3 linked regions of the Xenopus tropicalis genome follow. The protein of the gene in region 1 purifies or fractionates together with the protein of each later gene. This does not show direct contact. Links are inferred from orthologs where the notes say so. Each region holds a gene or a part of one and is shown in the gene's direction. Other genes may lie near its edges.

What was found.
Region 2: the proteins of itgb1 (region 1) and cd63 purify together in Homo sapiens (affinity purification with western blotting; 3 studies listed by BioGRID and IntAct, with this or other methods). This does not show direct contact. The link is inferred for Xenopus tropicalis from reciprocal best matches to the Homo sapiens genes ITGB1 and CD63.
Region 3: the proteins of itgb1 (region 1) and itga9 purify together in Homo sapiens (affinity purification with mass spectrometry; 3 studies listed by BioGRID and IntAct, counting the BioPlex papers as one, with this or other methods). This does not show direct contact. The link is inferred for Xenopus tropicalis from reciprocal best matches to the Homo sapiens genes ITGB1 and ITGA9.

The regions. Positions count from the first base shown.
Region 1 is NC_030682.2:22,870,449-22,874,874, forward strand, and holds the start of itgb1 (integrin beta-1 precursor), read left to right. Parts: upstream 1-1,599; 5' UTR 1,600-1,701; intron 1,702-4,426.
Region 2 is NC_030678.2:137,134,131-137,137,782, reverse strand, and holds part of cd63 (CD63 antigen), read left to right. Parts: intron 1-1,970; coding exon 1,971-2,159; intron 2,160-2,933; coding exon 2,934-3,008; intron 3,009-3,409; coding exon 3,410-3,505; intron 3,506-3,588; coding exon 3,589-3,652. UniProt on the Homo sapiens protein: Functions as a cell surface receptor for TIMP1 and plays a role in the activation of cellular signaling cascades. Plays a role in the activation of ITGB1 and integrin signaling, leading to the activation of AKT, FAK/PTK2 and MAP kinases.
Region 3 is NC_030682.2:61,158,580-61,162,231, reverse strand, and holds part of itga9 (integrin alpha-9), read left to right. Parts: intron 1-966; coding exon 967-1,035; intron 1,036-2,503; coding exon 2,504-2,641; intron 2,642-3,652. UniProt on the Homo sapiens protein: Integrin alpha-9/beta-1 (ITGA9:ITGB1) is a receptor for VCAM1, cytotactin and osteopontin. It recognizes the sequence A-E-I-D-G-I-E-L in cytotactin. ITGA9:ITGB1 may play a crucial role in SVEP1/polydom-mediated myoblast cell adhesion.

The DNA.
Region 1 (4,426 bases):
AGCACTCTGCCTGTCCTATGCTGTCTGTGTGTGCCATACTCTGCCTGTCCTACCCTGCCTATGTGTGCCATACTCTGACTTCTCTATGCTGCCTCTGTGTACCATACTCTGCCTGCCCTACCCTGACTGTGTGTGCCATACTCTGCCTGCCCTACCCTGACTGTGTGTGCCATACCCTCCCTGACCTATGCTGCCTGTGTGTGCCATACTCTACCTGCCCTATGCTGGCTGTATGTGCCATACTCTGCCTACAGTACCTATGTCTGAGGTGTGAAGAAGTGAACAATGGGAGTGATTACAGCCTGAGCCTGAGGTGTGAACACTGCAGGGGGTGAACCATGCAGGTATTAAAAGGTGTGAAAAACACAGGGGATTAAATTTTTAAACAATACAGAGGGATTACAGCCTGAATCTGAGGTGAGAACCATGCAGGGGGCCAGTTAATCTCAGTACTGATACCATTTAATGCTTACTCAAAGGTAAACCATCAAAGCAGCCAGACAGATGGGGGCCACACAGAGGGGGGTCGCGGGCCGCCAGTTGGACAGCACTGCCATAGACCATGGATCCCCAACCTTTTATACCTGTGAGCCACATTCAAGTGGAAAAAGTGTTGGGGAGCAACACAAGCATGGAAATGGTCCCTGGGGGTGCCAATAAGAGCTATAATTGGCTACTTAATAGCCCCTATGTGGACTGGCAGCCTACAGAAGGCTCTGTTTGGCATTATACTGGGTTTTTATGCAACCAAAACTTGCCTCCTTACCAGAAACTCAAAAATAAGCAGCTGCTTTGAAGCCACTGGGAGCAACATCCAAGGGGTTGGGGAGCAACATGTTGCTAAAGAGCCACTGGTTGGGAACCGCTGGCATAGACAGTCACTACTTATTGGCCCGGTGGGGGTGCTACTTTGGCCTTTGCGTACCTGAAATGCCAGGGCCTGATGCTGGGGTACCATTAGAATACGGCGGCACACAGATATTATTGCCACACTTGCCTGACTGGTAAAAATTAGGCTTCATGTCAATGTTATAAATAGATATAAATAAAAATATTGGAAGGCTGGTATTTTTTTCCAGAAAAGGTGGCAACCCTTCAGGCAGATGAACCCTACCCTGGGGATTGCTCGCCTGTGGCCTGAAGAATGAAACAAGAATCAGTAGAAGCGCCCAACAACATACAAACTGCTTTCAGCTACTGACTGCCATCAAACCATGTGGTACCAATAAACTGTACTGTACTACAAGCAAAGCTTATCCCCTGGAGTGTATGCCTATTGAGCTGTGGTACTGGTGCCAAGCTGTGCCAGATATCGGGAAGCGATCCCAGTGCTACTAATCAGACAGTATGGGGCAATAGCCGCCACTACACAGTGGCCATGTGGGAGCCCCTGCCCCCATCCCCCCCCATTCCCACGTAGCCAGTCCCGCCCTCCCACATCCTGACGTCACCGGGCTGGAATGCGCTTCCTGCGGCGCTTCTTGCTCTGGCTGTGCGCGTCCGTGTGAGTGCGGGGGCGCGCTTGTGGTGCGTCAGCGCAGGCTGGGTGCTACTCGGGAGGGGACCGTTACTGAGAGCGGACACTTCATTCAGCGCGCAGACCTGCCTGGGCTCGGAGGCCGCAATCTGAGGCAGCGCTTAGTCTGTGCGATTCAGCCCGGCAGGGCGCCGCTCCTGGGATCCAAGGGCCCCACGCCAAAGGTGAGCCGCCGCTCTGTGTTACCTGCATTCTGGCCCCAGTGTCCGCTCACTTGGTACAGTCTGTGCTTAGGGCATTGCTGCTCCGTATCTGCCTCCCTGTGGGGAATCCATATGGCTTAGAGAAGCCGGGACGTGTAGCAGCTACTTTGCACGCCGGGAGTTGTATTGTTTGTCAGTGATAGGTACAGGGGGGCAGACTTGGGGCTCTACAGCTGCTGGGAACTACTGCATTCACTCGCAGGGGATTGTGGGACTTGTAGTACATGCCACCTGGAGTTTTTCCATTGTGGAGTTTGTGCTTCAGTAGGTAGAGGGTTAATAGAGACTGGGGGAGGGGGTGACCTTGCTTAGGGGCAGCTTCCTATAAACTTTCCTTGTTGTGGGATCCCACCCTTCCAGGGCTGCAGCGCTCTCCCTCCTTAGTTACTGCGCTAATTACATGATCATGTGTGTAGGGGGCTCTGTGTAAGTGAATTGGGTGTCTGGCTGGGACTGTATGTACCCCCCCCCCCATAGAGACAGCAGGGAGTTTCCCTGCAGGAATGTGCACAGAGGGAGGCGGCAGAGGACATCCTGGGAGGGGTGAAGGGGGGGCAGTCTCCTTCTTTCTCTCTTTATTTTTAACAGTAGATCATTACCATAACCATAGATATTATTAACCAGGGCTCAGCCGGCCCACGCTGTCCCCTTTCCCTGTGTGTTCAGTAGGGCGCAGGGTAGTTGTGCCACGGTCACTATAAGTACAATATAGCACTGCTTCATTTGGCTGCTGGCTCCTAACAGAGTCTCCTAAGAGAAGGCGGCCCCCAGGCACGAATAATGGTTTGGCTGACACTGAGGGCACTTATATTGAGTTATGAGTGGGTGCTTGTATGTGGCTTTTTTTATTGAAGCCCGAGCAGCGTTTTAGCCCAGAGGCTTCCGAGGGTGGATGAGTCCCAAAACGTATTCTTGGCAGGGCCGGGTTCAAGGGTGGGTAACAGAGCCTAAATCTGTGCTGGGAACCTTATGAGATTAATGGTGAGGTAATCAGTATGACAAAGGAACTAAAATGTTCTGAAAGCTTGCTGTGATTATCTTAGTTAGCCAATAAAGGTATCGCCTTTATACCACTTTTATTTCTAAAGGGTTACCCTTATAAACATTTTGACTGGCTAACACAGTATATCACCTTTTCCTGCATGGTGAAGATTCAAATATAAATTCATAAAAGAGCTTTTATGAAACTCAGTGTCCCACTTTTCCTATGATTATCTGCCACCCCGGGCAGGCAGGGCCCTTTGTGCAGAGGATCAGGGTAGTCTGGATTATATAGAGGAGCAGCCACATTCTCTTTACAGATACTACACTTCAATTTAGCTGAAAGGACAACAATTACCATTTCCGCCCAGTAGGAGTGTAAAGCCACACTGGGGCTTATTGGCTTTGAGCAGCTGTGCACACAAGGTGCAAATCAGCACTCCCTGTGCCACCAGCACCTTATTTGCACCTTGATGTGACCTGCACATTGTTCATAGGTCCCAAGTGACTCCGTAGTTGTATCTAGGCACTGAGGGTCATTTATAAAATTTGCACAGTGCAGAATTATTCACACAGTGAACGTATTTACTCTACCTGTATTTATATTTATAAAGCTGGACAAGACTGGTGCGTTTAATGGGCAAATATAATTGCGAAATTTTTATTCACAGTGCAAATGCCCTTCAAGTTTTTTAAATATGGCATATTCGTAAATTGCGAATGTTTATGCGCGCAGTCTGTGTCCGCGCTATATTTATTCATAATAAATGGGCACAGAGGGCAAATCGCAGTCTCATTTGCGAATTTTTGTGCGCAATTCACATTTCACTGCGATTTGCATATATCTAGAAGGCATTTCCCTTGTGAGTAGAGGAGGCCATACCGGGCAGATTTTATCTGCCAGTGTGTGGGCACGAACAATGGGTCTGCCCGACCGAGATTTGGCCAATTTCAGGCCAGATGTTGACTGGGCAGGTTTGATTTTTCCGTCGTATCGGGAACCACATTGGCTCGTTGATGTGGCCCCTGTTTTAATTTGAATTCGCCTGATATTGCTCACCCATAGGTGAGTGTATTTGGAGAAGATACGTTTGATTGGTGACCTCGCCATAGAGTGGATCTTACCGTGTATGGCCAGCTTAAAAGTGGTAAAGTGACCCCCCCCTAGACCCTGTCTAAGCTCTAATATGAGCTGTGCTGGTTAACCCAAGATCAAACCTGTATACATCTAATCAAGATGGTGCTACTGAGAATATTCCCTAATATAGGTTTGTGTCAGAGAAAGAGATTTGTCACAGTGATTTATAAGTTAATTATCTGGAATTGTCTCCCCATCTGTGGGCAGCATGTTTTGTTAGGGTTATCAACTACAAATACATACGTTTTTTTCTTTTAGCATAGTGCTATTCTAAGGTAATTTGCAGTTGGTCTTGCATTGGTCTCTGTTTTTTATTTTCGTTCAGCAGATCTTCAGTGTTGAATTTTAGCATCTACCTGGTTGCCAGGGTCCAATTTAAACTAGAAACCAGGCAGTGGTTTGAAAGAGAGAGGGGATTATAGGAGGGCCTTAATAGAAAGATAAGTAATAAAACAATAACAAACTATTGCTCTGTGGGGCTACAGTTTAATTTTTACCTGCTGGGGTCAGCGACCCCCATTTGAAAGCTGGAAAGAGTCAGAAGTGGAAAGCAAATAATTCAAAAAC
Region 2 (3,652 bases), on another chromosome or scaffold:
AACTGGGCCTGCCTTAACCCCCTCACCCCCCCCCCCCCCCATCACATACTCTGTATCTTAAACAGCCACCCCTGTCGCAAACCCCAACCTAAAAATCCAGAGCAGTGCAGCTGCGTACCTGGGAGACATCTTCTGTTGAATTGTAGAAGCTTTGTGTGTCACCGCCGACATGGACCCTGCTTGAGCATGTGCACTTGAAGCTGATTTCCTAAGTTAAGGTGGCCATACACGCACCGATATTATCGTACGAAACCTCGTTTCGTACGATAATCGGTGCGTGTATGGCATGTCAGCGAGCCGACCGATATCGCAGGAAGCTGCTGAAATCGGTCGGCTCGCCGATCGGGCAAGTTAGAAAATTTTGATCGGGCGCCATAGAAGGCGCCTGACCAAAATTCTCCCTTCAGAGCTGAATCGGCAGAAGGAGGTAGAAATCCTATTGTTTCTACCTCCTTACCTGCCGATTCAGCCCTGAATGGTGTGTGGCGGATCTGACGATGTTTCGTGCGACCGACGGTCGTACGAAACATCGTGAGATCGCCACGTGTATGGCCAGCTTTAGAGTATGCGATAAGGGAGAGGTGAGGGGGGTGGTCAAGGCAGGTCAGTTAAGGGGGCTTTTATAGCTGTGGGGGGTGTAGTCCTCCTTTTAAAGTTATGTGTAATTGTAGTTGAAAGCGGTGATTATTTCTTTATTTCTGTTCTTTGGGTCTTTTGAGTCAATTCTCAGCTTTAATCAGCTGGCTTGCAGCATTATTTCAGAAGTCTGGAGATCTTTTAAAAAGGAAGATGACTTTCCTGCCCTGAGGCAGTTTATCTTACCAGAAATGCAGCCCAGACACTCATCAGTAATCCATGAGTGCCACCAAAGCACCTATTATTACCCCTCTCAAGGCTTGGCCATGGCAATAAATCTGCACTACCGTGGGCGACTAGTCTCTCCCAAATCCTTTTCTACTGGTTATTGGAAAACATCGGTGACTTACCACCAGTGACTAACAAAGTCCCCACAAGGAAACTTCAGGTAATGCGTATGTTTTCCCACTGGAGATTTACATGATCAGCGGTGGGAAAGCATTTCAGGGGGATTAGTTGCCCGAGGTAGTGCAGATTTGTTGCAGGCTACTAATCTCCCTGTGAGCCTGGGCCTTTATGGTCTCAGTGAGAATAACATCATGACACCAGCTCACTGTTTCTCTTTCATGTGATTCTCCTCTAAAAATGAGGAAGCAAATGTTGCGCAAGAAACTCCCCACAGCAATGGTGCAAGTTGCATTAGGTCAGTTTGCTAGAGAACATACATTGTTTTCAGTCACTTTCTGTTCTTGCACAAGAGATTCACTGGTATGGTCACTTCCCCGTCTAGGGGGGTTCTGACCACTTTCTTTACCTAGTAGTGAATGCTCAGTTAGTCAGCATTAGGGAGTCTGGCTCCCTAGGGGGTGGAGTAATTTTTCAGTATGGCAACACCCTCACACCCACATCCCCACACCTACACTCTGATTAAAGGTAAGTCTTTATGACTTAAATAAATGATGTCAGAGACATTGCTGCACCTATTGTATTGTGTGTGTTCAGTTTTCTATAGTGAAAGCAGCACTAAAAGGCGATCCAGCATCCCATGCTCCTCTCATTCAAACCTTTAGAATACTATTTATACGGTTAAATACAAAATGGCTAATTGAAGAGTTTGCATGAAGGGTTTGGCAGCACTGGCATTACTTGTTTTTCTTGCTCTGTCAGTTTGAGAGGAAAGTGCTACAAAAGCTGCTTTGTTTTCCCTGCATAATGAGCCCAGTAGGAACGAAACGGCACAACAACCTCTGCCCTTTTGTGCCGTTATTACAAATGGCCGTTATTAAATTGTTCTGCTCAGTTGCAGTTATACGCATCCAAGAGGGCCACATTAGCACGGCCTGTACATTTACGTGTTGTGCAGATACTCATCTTCCGATTGGTTTGTTTTTTAGGTGTGTGGCATTGCTCTCATTGCGATCGGGATATACGTGCAAATCCAGCTTAACCACACTCTTATCATGAAGAATGCCACCTCCTCTGGAGCTCCCATAGTCATCATCGTAGTGGGTGTTGTCATCTTTTTAATTGCCTTCTTTGGCTGCTGTGGAGCACTAAAAGAGAACTACTGCATGGTGACAACGGTAAGAAATGGTTTTAACTTTTTTCTCAATTTATAGGTGCTTTATTACAATTTCCTGGCAACAAATGCCCTATTTTATATGAGGGGTTTTCACTCTGTGGCTACTGCTACACATGGGTGTTTGTCTGCAACAGGGCTGATGCAATGGCTCCTAGAACAGGCACATAGAGAAGCGTTTAGGGGCATTGAGACAGCTTCTTGGCTTCTGTGCCAAGAATCACCCACGTGGCAGTAGCCTATGGTTCTGTAAAGAGGCATAATTGTCACTTGAGGCCACTGCTTATGTTACTGAATGGAAAGGGCCACATACAAAGAACAAGGAGCTGTGACAGATGGACCTCTAAGGCATTCTTGAGTACAGATGGTTAAACTCCACTTCTCAATGAGTAGTATTTACCAGCAGAAATAGGCCGGCAGTGGTGTTTTAAGCCCTGTGTTTCTCTTCTAGTAGTAGGCACACCTCCTGGATGCCACTAACCCCAAATCCATTATATTCTACACAGGTTATCTGCTATGTATATTTGTGCCCTATAGCCCAATTTCAGCTTAAATGACTGACACTGCAGCTTCTAGAACTGTGCTAGTACTTCTGAAGCATACACATAAAAGTGTAAAATACCTGCTTTTGACAAAACAAGTCCATGCTTGATACATATCTAGATAGGAAGTGAAGATAATTGATGACTCCAAAATATACATGCAGGAAGGAATAGAAATTCTGCTTCAGTGTATGTGGGGGGAAAAAATTACTTATTGCTTTTTCTTATCATTGCAGTTTGCCGTTGTGCTGGTGCTGATCTTCCTGGTTGAGATTGCTGCTGCTATTGCTGCCTATGTTTACAAGGACAAGGTAATTCTGGTTCCTTTCTTCCTTCTCCTGCCGCTGAATGAATCCACTCTATAACTGGCTTAATTTTGCTTTGGGCCCTATATGTCTGTTTATGCTAACTTTCTTGGCGTGTGAAAGAAGTTTAAGAATTTTTATTGATCAGCTGTATGTTTTACTTGCCAGTGGGCTAATAGAACATTCCAGACCTATTTATTACTGTATTAGACTTACAGTGCAAGCCATGTTCACTCTATGCCTTTATGGCGTGCACTTGTGTGCCAGTGCAAAACACATTAAACAGGGAATCTAGTACTCCTCAAGACCTACCTTTCTCTGTACAGTCTTCTCAAAGTGGGCATTAAAGATGTGTGAACCAATAGTTTTTTCTGCCATAACTTTCTCTGTTCTTGTTTGTACTTCAGCTGCGCACTGCATTTGAGGACTCCTTTAAAAATGGTATGGTCCATTATAATGACACCAAGGATATAGCGGATAGCATTGACCTCTTGCAGAAAGAAGTAAGTATTCTGCTTGTATAAAGAGTTGGGGATCGGCACAGTCTTTTCATGTCGATACATAACATGTCTGTTTGCTATTGCAGTTTCAGTGCTGTGGTGCCATCAACTCAACTGATTGGAGACAATATGCTCCCTTCACTGGTACAA
Region 3 (3,652 bases), about 38 Mb from region 1:
AACACAGAATGTTAATGGAGGTAAATTGGGGACCCTGCCTAAAATGACATAGGACTGCAGCACAGCTGTTCCATATTATGAAAGGAGCTAATATCCTTGGATATTTAGGAGCTTTAGCTTTTGGAATGAGGCTGTTGTTCACAGTTTATTTTAGTCTATGTACCTGAAAAATCTTTTCTCTGTATTGTGCGTTATATATTATATTCCAATTTTTTTACCTCAGCTGAGTTATTTTTATAAATATCTCCACAGAAATAGAACTGGCACTACTCAATATTGTAAAAACAGTACTTACATCAACACTGTCAGTAATATTTATCTAAGAAGATACTTTTGCCAGTTCATCACAATGTATTTTCTTTCGGTTGCGTGTGTGCTTGGAGAAATGTAACTGTCACACAAATTAATTACTACATTCTAACAATACATTTGGCTTACTTGTCCTGTTGTTACAATTGTTTTGTACCCTTGTTGCGTCTGAAATATTAATATATTAATCTAGTGAAGTACATGTACTTTGGCAGACAAAGCAATTTTATATTCAATTCTTAACCTGATGTACTCTATCACTGTCGATAGTTGTTTGCAAATACATGCAAGAGTAATTGTGTATGTAATGCAGATTTGTCTACAGTAATATTGATTACCCAATATTACAACTCTGAATGTTTTACTAAACCCATTTGTAAGCTGTGTAATTTCTTAGATATTATTATAATTCCTAAGGGAACGGTTGATTGAGCTATAGTGTACTGCTGCAGTATATAAACAATAACCCAATCGATATTTCTTTTAAAGAAAATAAAAAGTATTCTAATATATTAGCCACATTTACACTGCCTTTGTCTTCATATAAGATCTTGGTAATGTGCAGGCAGTTGGTGTATGTATAGGGATCTAAAAGCAGTCTGGAATAGAAACACTAAACCTTTCCACATTTATAATAAACATATTTTTTCCTTTTAGGTGTTTATCTTCAGAACTGATAAGAGGTCTGTATCGCTTGTTAAGATTTTTCAAGCTTCTGGAAAAAAGGTTAGCCTTCCCATGTTTTACTTTTCTACAATTGTTGTGCCTGCAAAACAGTTTGCGCATGCTATTTCAGGGTTCAGAAGGCCTGTTCCAGATCTGTTTAAGCGACAGCACAAACCTTTACTAAAATTGAGTACAATGAAGGGAGTTCAAGAGGATTTTGTCTATCACTGCACTCACTCAACCCCCACTTTCTCCCCCTATCAAAAGGATAATTTGTTCACAGGGAGATGATAAGCTGTGCATAATGGTAATGCCACATGGGGGCTGATTTTGGCCTGCGGAAAAGCACATGCCAAGAATCAGCCCCAACACTGACATTAGCTTTCTTCTTTGCCTGCACCCGGAACCATTGTGTTGGCCCTGGTGCAGGCACATGCAGAGGTAAACTCTCACATTTTATATGTATATTGTTTAAACATGAATCAAAGATTCAAATTGGCCTTGTAAAAGCTTTATGCATTCACTGCAGACAATGGTTTTATTTGCCAGTCTTAGATAATAGATAAACATTCACTACAAACTATGTCTAATAATGTTGTAGAAAAACAAACAGCTGATTGTTAAGTTCAAGGTAATGAGTAAGTCTGGAACAAAGTCTAACCAGAATGCTTACAAAATAGTAAAAGTTAATGCTGATGTAAGATGCTAAATTTATTTATAATAAAAAAATAAAAAGGGTAACCTGTCTTGTGAATTCATCTATTAATACCTACGCATTTTGTGGGGGGTTTACATGTCCTTGCACCTTTAAAGCACCTTGCAATGGACAAATCTACTGCAGTTGCCATAGTCATTGCACAAAAAAAATTTAATTCATTATTTATTGTTACGTCCAAAGCCACTCCCTGCAATTCAGCATTGTTGTGCTTGGTGCCACTTCCCGCACCCCACCTCTTCCAGTGAATTGAACACAGTGTGCCTATTGATGCAGGGGAACCCTAATGCTATCCCCACTGTAGCCTGCATCAACTGACACAGCAAACTCGTGGGAAACAGGCCCAGGTGGCATTTCGATACCAGAAATCATAACATCTGAATACTGAAGCTTTTTAGCACAGTTGCATCCAATTTCTGTTGAGGTAAATGTGCAGTGTGTTTGAAAACATTGCCTGCAATAGCATCATGCACATCACCACCCCATGGCAGAGGTTAAGCTGGAATTCTTCTTCTTGGGATCCTTATCCAATAAATGTTACAGGATCATTATTTACAGGAATGTTACAGGATCCATTTGTGTTTTGTGCACAAATTAACATTGCTTTTTAGTGAATGTTTATAAATGTGGACTATATGCTTCTCTTTAAAATGTTAACATTAAGCCCACTCCTAAGTATAATATTGATGCTCACAGAAAGTGTCAAAGTTAAAATTAATATATATTTGCATACATTGCATTTGTTACCATAAAATGAATCTTTATTCTGGAGAAAAATACTGAATGCTTTGTTGTGACTCGGCTTGGTTGCAGGTGGGCTCTTACTTTGGCTCCTCCTTATGTGCAGTTGATCTGAACTCTGATGGCCTCTCAGACCTATTAGTTGGTGCTCCCATGTTCTCAGAGGTGAGGGATGAGGGACAAGTCACAGTGTATATCAACAGAGGAAATGTAAGTATTTGTGTGAACATTAAAAAATATTGATTTTATTCTTTATATTTTAATATACATATATACAGTATTTTGTGGGGTGTGTTCATAGTTCTTGAGATGTGTGCAATTATAGCCAGATTGTTTGGATGTGTACATTTCCCATGGTGTACAGGCATATAAAGAAAAACAATTAAACAGTGTGCTGCATTCTTTATGGGTTTGCATACTTGTTCTCTTGAACTAATAGACAATACAGTCTTCATATTGTAGAGATTTTTACTTCAGGACAGTGGTTCCCAAACTTAATGGCTCAGCCTTAAGGCCATTTGGGATACGAATCAATGAAAATTGTCATTAGCTGTCATAGATACACCTGAAAGCCAAGCTTGAAGGTCAATTGAGGTGGGATTTGTGCTGTACTTCATATTCTTTTAACTAAGACTGAATGACTGATATTTCCTATATATATGTAGCCATCTCTTTTGGTAAGGGGGGCCCTGACCAAAGGTTGTACCATTAAGAGGGCTGTGAACAAAGACTGGACATTCAATTTGAGCTGAAACCAAATCTCTAGAATACACTAAACTAAAATACAGGGTTAACCACGCTGAGGTAAGCAAAGCCACAAGCAGCTGAAACAGGAGCCAAAACCAGAAACAAAACCAAGGCCTCAATTTGGGAGGCAGAAACTTTTAAAAAGATCAAATTCTTAGATATATTCACATAGGTATCTGATGCCAAATGGACACTTTTGTATTGTTCTGATCGTTTGTGGGACTTGACAAAAAAATGTATTATATTAGATTGGCTGAAGTTTGTTAGTATAATACTCCTGCTGCTTATTGATGACTGACCCCAAACATTTCATTGTAGGGATTTTTCCTTCAGCAAATCTGTGCTCCCACAATTTAACCTTTTTTTTATTTGATTACTCTTGCGCGGTCTCCACCAATTAAGGAATCATTGTGTTGTCCCAGGTGCACACAGAGTGGATTTTAGTGAGAAACTGCATACTCAAGCACCTCCCCG